2 linked regions of the Daphnia pulex genome follow. Each later gene encodes a partner of the first gene's protein in a complex. Links are inferred from orthologs where the notes say so. Each region holds a gene or a part of one and is shown on either strand. Other genes may lie near its edges.

Region 1 (4,128 bases):
ATGCGGGTACCTCTTCGTGATCCGTAGCTCTTGGCCTCAATGCCGTGCAACGTATCTTGCAAGGAAGACACCAGGATCTTGCAGCGCTCATCATGCGCCACTTTTGACTGTTTGATGAGCGAAATGGCCGTTACTAGCGTCTCGATTGCACTGGCGTAATCACCTGATTGGATGAAGAAGACAGATAAGTTACTACTGATTTTGGTTCAATGAGCAAAATGAAGCTTGAAGACATACCAGTTGAGGCATCCGCAACAGCTCGAGCAATGGCGGAAGAAGAAACTGTTCGGTTGCGGCCCATCACTTCCTCGAATTCGGCTTCACTGACGTTTGGCGGCTCATTGGTGTGCGGTGGCCGATTATCAGTGATGAATGGTGGTGGTGGGCCGATCGGTGGAGGGAATCCAGGCGGAGGTGCCGCAACGGGCGGAGGGAAGAATGCCGGATTGACGTGAGGAGCTGGCTGCTGGACTATGTTGGCCCATTCTGGCCGGCCGTTGCCAGGAGGCGGAATACGATGAGGATTCATATCCATTCCGGGCGGAGGCCCACGCATCCCCATGCCGGGTGGTGGACCTCGCGGTACGACCGTAGGTGACATGACCGGATGTGGAAGAAGGTGATGCGTCGGTGGCGGAACGGGAATGCCTCCGGGTGTCGGTGGACCACGAACTGAAGGTGGCGGAGGTAATGAGAGACTCGTTAAAGGTGGGGGTCCGGATGAAGAAGCTGACGGACCCATCATCATCCTAGGAGGAGGCCCATTCATTGGAGGAGGTCCGAGTAATCCGACTGTTAGCGACGGAACTCCGGATGGAGCAGAACCGGTACTCCGCGGAGGACTTGATTGTCTAGATGGGCGGCTCTTTGACTGCGCCTCAAACTGAATAAGAAAAATATTTTGACATTAAAAGAAATGCATAAAACATAAATGTTTAAAGATGTTCCAGTCAAGTCGTCCGTTAAGTGTTAAATTGTACGACACTTGTAGGTTTACAGACTTGATTGGTTTTAATGTTGCATTACACTTTCCCACCTTTGAACTGTATTCAATTTAGACAGTCAATGGTTCTACTGGTATGCACTTGGAAAAAATTCGTCTAGCAGCACTAAACGATTAAGAAATGTTTTGATCTTACCTGATTGAGCGCCTGTTTGGATGTGAAGGTGACGATGGGCGTCTGTCCGTGCAGATCCTTTTTGGGAAGTTTGTCCATGCATTGACGAGCGCTGATCTCGGAACCGACGGTGATGACGCAGAAGCCTTTCGACTGGCCGTTGGCTCGGTTTTCATGAAATCGCACCTCCACCAGGTCTTGGACGCCAATCGCGCTGATTGCATTCTCCACGTCGGCATCTGTGGTCCACTGTATTGTCCAACAACCACAAAATTGATGTTGTGTCGTTGTCGTTTGTTGTTGTTTTGGATTGGGTTTGTTTGTTTAAAAAACAAAAGAAAGAAAGATAATATAGAAAAACAAAGCATGAAAATCGTTTTCTGCCGATTACATCCATACCATAATTGTATTGGTCAAATAAAAGATATTTTGATCGGGCACCTTTACACAGCCGCGCAATTTGTAGTGAGTGTATGCCAGAGTGCAGTTTCTTTTTCTTGTCATCATCAAAGATGTTCCTGCACATGGGCGCCAGCGGTTGTTATAATACGTGGCTGAGATTGTCATATCAAGCGATATCCCACCCCAAACTAACAATTCATTCGACTCAAATATCGTTTGGCAGAGATGACGATTTCAGAGATCAAAGGAGAAAAAAAAACATGGGGCGATGGATGTGGCACATCAGTTACGCAAAACTGATTGACAAGAATTTTTTTTCTGGGGAGTTCTATGGAGGACCGCATCCTGAGAAACGTAATACAACACAACTCAAAAACCTTCAGTCAAAGGTTTTGATAGGGGCTAATGATAAGTTTTGATGGACTACTTATGATAGATCAATAGATGATAAAAAAAATTATTTAAAAAGTGCAGATACACAGCGTACAACATGCATGGTCGTTCATGTCCCTGAATTGGTATGCCTTCTCACATACACATACATACATCAACATTCATGATGCCCTTCTTTCAATTTTGAATGCCATCATACAGTTTTATCACACATCATAGCCCCTCCATCATAACAACATGGTGGCTAGGTTGATATCACAGACTTAACAATTTGATTAATGTCGATAAAATAAAAATAAACAATTGGGAACTATCTGGGAATGATTCGATATACAGCACAATTACTTTTTAGATAAATAAAACGACACTTTGAACAATTGGTTTTATAAATGGAAAGGTTTGAATAATCGTACCCACGTCAGATTGCCCACGTACAACTGGATCCTTTTGGATTGTGATGAGCTGTTGCTGCCATGAAGCTGAAGTGGAGTTCCGATCAATGAAGATGAACCATGTAGAGAGCTGGATGTGATATGAGAAGATAGCGTTGAGATCTTCTCCTTTCCATTTAGTTCCTGCTTGATGCTCGTTGAAGATGTCAAGACGTCATCATACAAGTCAACGCCATCGCCAATTTGTTCGTCACCATCCTGTAATCAGTTAAGAAAATAAGTTAAATGATGCTGTCTCATCTAATAACGGTAAACAGCAAAGACGCCACGCCAAACACTGCGGTGGGATAACAACAGAAAATGAACATAAATGTACATAAATAAGTTATTGATAAACGAACTACAGAATATTAACATCGCATTCTTCCGGTAACTATAAATAAGTACGTAAACTTACACCATGAAAATCATCACCAAGATCGTCGGCATACAAGTCAATATCAGGCACGTCAGCCATTTTATGAAGTTTAGTCTATGGCCAACGACCACAGTCTTGAACTTCTTCTCTGTTTCCACCAGTGCTGCCACTTCTGAAATAGCAAAGTCGTGCAGGGTTGCCTAAAAAGTCCCGAAAATCCGTTTTTTTTTTTTTTAAAAATCCTGCACTTTATCTTGCACGATTTTCTTCAAAATCCCGCAAAAATCTTGCAAAAAAAAAAAACCCGCATAAATCCGACACGATCCAACATAATTTCCTAGTTATCCTAGTATATTTGAAGTCTTTTCTTGTCAGACAGGTAAAACATTATTTTGATACTGTTGACCGACAGTTAAAAGCTACACGGAAGCTCGGTAGGATGCTTATTTTAGCCCTATTTCAGCACTTTAAGATTACTTAACACGTTACGCTTTTTGGTAAGAATTATAAACAAACTGAAAAGCAAAATTTCATGCTTCTTCGAAGTGTAACATGCTTACAAAAAAATAAGTATGTTTATAAAAATGAAATTAAGTATGTTTACAGAACAAGTACTTTTAGCAACACACTTATCATAGATTTAACGTACTTAAAGTTTTAAAAAGTATGTTGATGCTTCTTAAGTATGTTAAATAAAAAAGAACAAGTCCTTTAAGCAACACAATTATCATAAACTTAACGTATTTACTTTATTTATAAACGTACTACCCAATGTTTTCTCTGCTGCAACGAAAAAATGACAGAGTCCATTTCATTAACCATTAATCAAGCCCCTTTGTGGCACCTTCGAGATTTTATAAGTCTCCTTTCGTTTTTTTTCTTGATTAGGAAATTTAAAAATTAAGTTTTCGTATTGTTTTCTCTGTTTGTCATTCTATACCTCACTGTTGCACCTCTTGTGTCGAATAAAATCAGAGGAAAGGAAATAAATTTGGCAGGGCCAGTGTTTCGTGGTTGTTATTTTGTCCGTGGCCTTGGTTAGTTCTTCATTTAGATTGATGTTTTCTTAGTACTGTTGATATCACATTATTCTTAGTATAACCTTGTGTTTTTCTTTTTTTCTTGATGTTTTACAGTCAGATATTCAGTGTTGATTCAGATTCTTAGTTGGAAAGTTGTTGTTTCAAATTGGCTGCTGTTGAATATTTGTCTGTTAGTTGGTGCATCAGTTTTGTGAGAAGAATTTTTTTAAAGTGAGTTTTTTGTCAGATATGAATAGTGATTAGTGATATGAATTATTGTGATGAGTTTAGCTAATGTTGTGTGAATTATTATGTGTTACAATTTAATGAAGTGAAAGCAATGAAGATTGTTTTTTTTATCGAAGTGAAATGTTGAAATGTGA
Region 2 (3,521 bases), on another chromosome or scaffold:
ATTGGGAACAACAGCGAAACGAAATCACTTACCTTGTTGAAATTCTGGGTTTGACGGGAGGTTTATTTCGTCCATCTATTCTTTATCGTTCCTTTTTCACCACCTCTCAGACCTCCCTCTGTTGTATTCGATTTTCTTCCCCTTCTTTCAACGGCGCACTTTGAGGTCGCTAGGGCGATGTGGAGGATCGAGAGAGTAACGAGTCACGTTCTGATGTAATTACCAACGACCAGAGTTAAATTTCGTATTCTCTCCTTCCCTCTGCTTGTTCTCGGGTTGCTCTTTACTCCCCCCCCCCCTTCTTCGTTCGACGCACTGGTCACGTTCTTCATTATTGCCGAAGGATTATTTGATAATCCACGTCCACAAGGAGATTAGTTGATTTTTTCCCCCTGTCGATTCTCGTTACTGTTTGACCTCACTTCGCTTCTTCTTTGTCAATGTACTGTCAAGCCTTTTTTTTCCCCGTTCGGGTCTGAGAGGATTATAGTAGGTTAGCCACCCAATCTGTCTGAAGGCTTTCGACCAAGTGTTACACTAAATATATACTTGAATTACTTCGTTTCATCCATACCTTTAACAAAGAATTTTTATTTTCTTGAACTTGAATGGTCGACTTGCGTCGCGAACACAATGAGATTTGCTTTTATAAGCATTTATTGAATGAATCAAATTCAGCCGCACATTAAGACGATTAACGAATTAAATGAGCCTTCGTTTCTTCTTTCACTTAGATAAGCGTCAAAGTCACTGCCACAAATAAAAAAACACGCAAATTGTTGAGACTATTTTGCAGAACCCTCGCCTTTGGACTGTGTAGAGAACTTGGGCTTGTGAAGTTTCCTTACATGTATATGAAATCAAATCTGACAAACAAAGTCTAATGATTATCCCAAGAAAATCATACCGTGATTAAAGTTTTAACCTGCTCATTGTTTGTGGAAGAGAGGATATGATGGGACCATATCCCTGAGAATTGTCGTATAATTCAAAAAGGGGTGCAGCAACAAGTTTGTAATTTTTGGGTACTGCGAAGAGAGCTAATGTAGAATAAATATCATGTTCATTAAGAGGGTTAAAATAACTAAAATATCCAAACTGCTCAAGACGAAAAGAATTATTTATACCTTTTTCTTGAAGCTGAACCAAGAAAAGTTTCTTATGCTCCTTTGGTTTTGTTATGTGTGGAGGTATATATGGATATTGAGGTGGTTCAAAATTTGGACGCCACCAGTTTCCGACTGAATCTTCAATAAGCCAATCTTGCACTACACCATCTTGTCTTCCTAAAATCTAGACAGGGTGTTAAAAAGTAATAAACTAGTGAATTTTTTTCTTTAAATACCTCTGTTAGTAGTCTCTTCAACCCTTCGATATCATCTTCTCCTGGGTTTAACTCTCCCCCTGGCCTTTGAAGAAAAGTTGAAGATTAGAAATGAAAGGTGATGTTTTGTAAATTACTCTTACAGTTTAAAGAAAGTGGTTCCCAACTGTAACAACAAAACATGAGGTAGCCCATGTTCATGAACTAGTAAGATGCCTTCTACACTTCGTCTCATTCCAACTTTATCAAATTCTTCCCTCATTCGTTGAAATCGTGCAGGAACTGATGGATCTCTTTCAAATAAAGGATCTTTGGTTCCAAATGTGTAGTTTGACAAAGGGTACCTAATATAAAGAGAATGTTGCTGTCAATAAGTGTTTGAAAATAGCAGTTCAATAACATTGTTTTCTTTCAATCAAAACATTGTTGCTCTTTGTCTTCATGTGGCATTATTTCCATAAAAGGTTAAAATACTTACAAATTGATAGTTCTGTGCAACGTCAAAGATCCCTGATTGAATTTCATGTTTGACATTTCAGTTTTTATTTCGGTTTTTATTTCACTTTTAGGCCAACCGACGCGATTCGTACAGGATTGTATGCAAGCCATGGTAAAGCAATAGTAGCATTCAGCAGACTGACAGAAACTGGCATTGACAACGTTGCAATTTAACTGAAATTTTATTCTCTTAGCCAGAGCTATGGAATACTGGTACCGCCACTCATATGACGAGCTCTTCCATTGCTTTTTTTCTCTGGAATTGAAGCCTGCCCTGCTCCTTAGCTAAAAGCACCACAGCGGGTGTGTGGGGAAATAGGGTATTCGCATGGCATGGTATAGGAATGGAGGGAAAAGTGGAGGAGTGGCAAGGAGCGAGATCGATATCTTAGCTCCGATTATCTCCGATTTTCACTATCGATTGCTAAAGTTGGCTTCAGCCCCAGATAAAATTTCCGAGAGGAAGAGTTAACATGGCAGTGGCGCTACCAGTATTCTATAGCTCTGCTCTAGCGATATCGCGCGTTCCCAAACCAGAGTTATAGATGTAGGGGAAGAGGGGCTATTCCGGACAAAATTTAGCAAACTGGTTTATAGTTAATATTTCTTTAAGTGCAAGCTCAGAAAAGTATTTGTTTTGGCACCAAAATGTAGCCCAGGGTTTCTTCTTTCAAAAACTTCTTTTGAAAATGTTTTTTAGTAATAAATGGCTTAAATATTAACGGTTTAGTTTCACTGACTTTTTGTCCGGTTTCACCCCACAGAAGGGGCTTTTTCGGACAGTTTAAGAATATATATATTTTAAAGATAGAAAAGCAAGCTTATCAGCTCGCCGCGAAGGGATAGTCGTAAGCCAGTTGAAAACTGTCTTAAATGAAAAATTCAGGGCCTATTGTTAAGTCGGACTTTTTGCTAAATGCCTTCCAAATTTATCAGAATTTTTCTATAAATTCAATGTTCTTTCTATGAAATTTTGTGAAAAAAAATTCTACCGCAAAATTTTGATTTGTCTGAGTCATGGTTAACAAAGGGCATGGGTCAAAACAATATTTTTATTCTAAAAAAAAAGTAAATCTATAATGAGACTTGAACCATGGCCCTCTTCATTATCATGCCAGCGCTATAACCAAAAATCTATTTTTCGTCTTTTAATTCGATCCATTATCAAATGTGATAGACAATTTTCTCTTTATTGCCACGACAGATGTCGTGACAATAGACAGTTTTGACCGTCGCGCCACGACATATGTCGTGACAATAGATCTAACCATGAATGTAATGACCAGAAAATTCTTATTCAATTCCTACTTGTTGTGTTATTGTGCCCTTCTTCCCGCGACCGCTAGATGTCGTGCGGCGCTCAAGCGCTGAAGCTTGGAAGCAGCGAGCAGGAAGAAGGGCAGTCTGGTTTCGGCTGAGTCCGTAGAGAGAAGCTCCTTTCGCCTCGCTTAATACACTCCGTTAATTTACTTAAATTAACTACCCGGATTACAACCTAACACTACTCTGTGTCATGTCTTTTCTTCTGCGTCTGAGAAAAAGAAAAATGAGTTAAGATTACGTTGTAATAAAAGGAGTGGTTATATTTACCTTAGCCTTAGCTTCCAATTTAGCCTTCTCCCTGTCGTACTTTTCCATTTTTCCAAGAATGCGTGCCTTTTCAATTACTATTCATAAAAAAATGGATTAAATTAGGAAT

What was found. The genes of interacting proteins can lie anywhere in the genome.
Region 2: the proteins of cleavage and polyadenylation specificity factor subunit 6-like (region 1) and cleavage and polyadenylation specificity factor subunit 5-like are in contact, whole or in part, in a crystal structure (PDB 3P5T), measured with the Homo sapiens proteins. The link is inferred for Daphnia pulex from reciprocal best matches to the Homo sapiens genes CPSF6 and NUDT21. Residues at the interface, in NP_008938.2 of Homo sapiens: Trp90, Trp91, Thr92, Thr93, Asp94, Glu95, Lys113, Phe114, Glu116, Asn117, Arg118, Ala119, Asn120, Gly121, Gln122, Ser123; in NP_008937.1 of Homo sapiens: Pro151, Asn152, Glu154, Pro156, Tyr158, Tyr160, Pro162, Ala163, His164, Ile165, Thr166, Lys167.

Annotation. Positions count from the first base shown.
Region 1 is NC_060024.1:13,145,029-13,149,156, reverse strand, and holds the start of cleavage and polyadenylation specificity factor subunit 6-like, read right to left. Parts: upstream 2,901-4,128; 5' UTR 2,823-2,900; coding exon 2,763-2,822; intron 2,564-2,762; coding exon 2,327-2,563; exon of another isoform or gene 1,686-2,326; coding exon of another isoform or gene 1,518-1,685; intron 1,368-1,517; coding exon 1,140-1,367; intron 884-1,139; coding exon 238-883; intron 164-237; coding exon 11-163; intron 1-10. UniProt on the Homo sapiens protein: Component of the cleavage factor Im (CFIm) complex that functions as an activator of the pre-mRNA 3'-end cleavage and polyadenylation processing required for the maturation of pre-mRNA into functional mRNAs.
Region 2 is NC_060020.1:7,579,721-7,583,241, forward strand, and holds cleavage and polyadenylation specificity factor subunit 5-like, read right to left. Parts: upstream 2,063-3,521; 5' UTR 1,934-2,062; coding exon 1,803-1,933; intron 1,669-1,802; coding exon 1,468-1,668; intron 1,410-1,467; coding exon 1,346-1,409; intron 1,294-1,345; coding exon 1,128-1,293; intron 1,041-1,127; coding exon 926-1,040; intron 867-925; coding exon 845-866; 3' UTR 640-844; downstream 1-639. UniProt on the Homo sapiens protein: Component of the cleavage factor Im (CFIm) complex that functions as an activator of the pre-mRNA 3'-end cleavage and polyadenylation processing required for the maturation of pre-mRNA into functional mRNAs.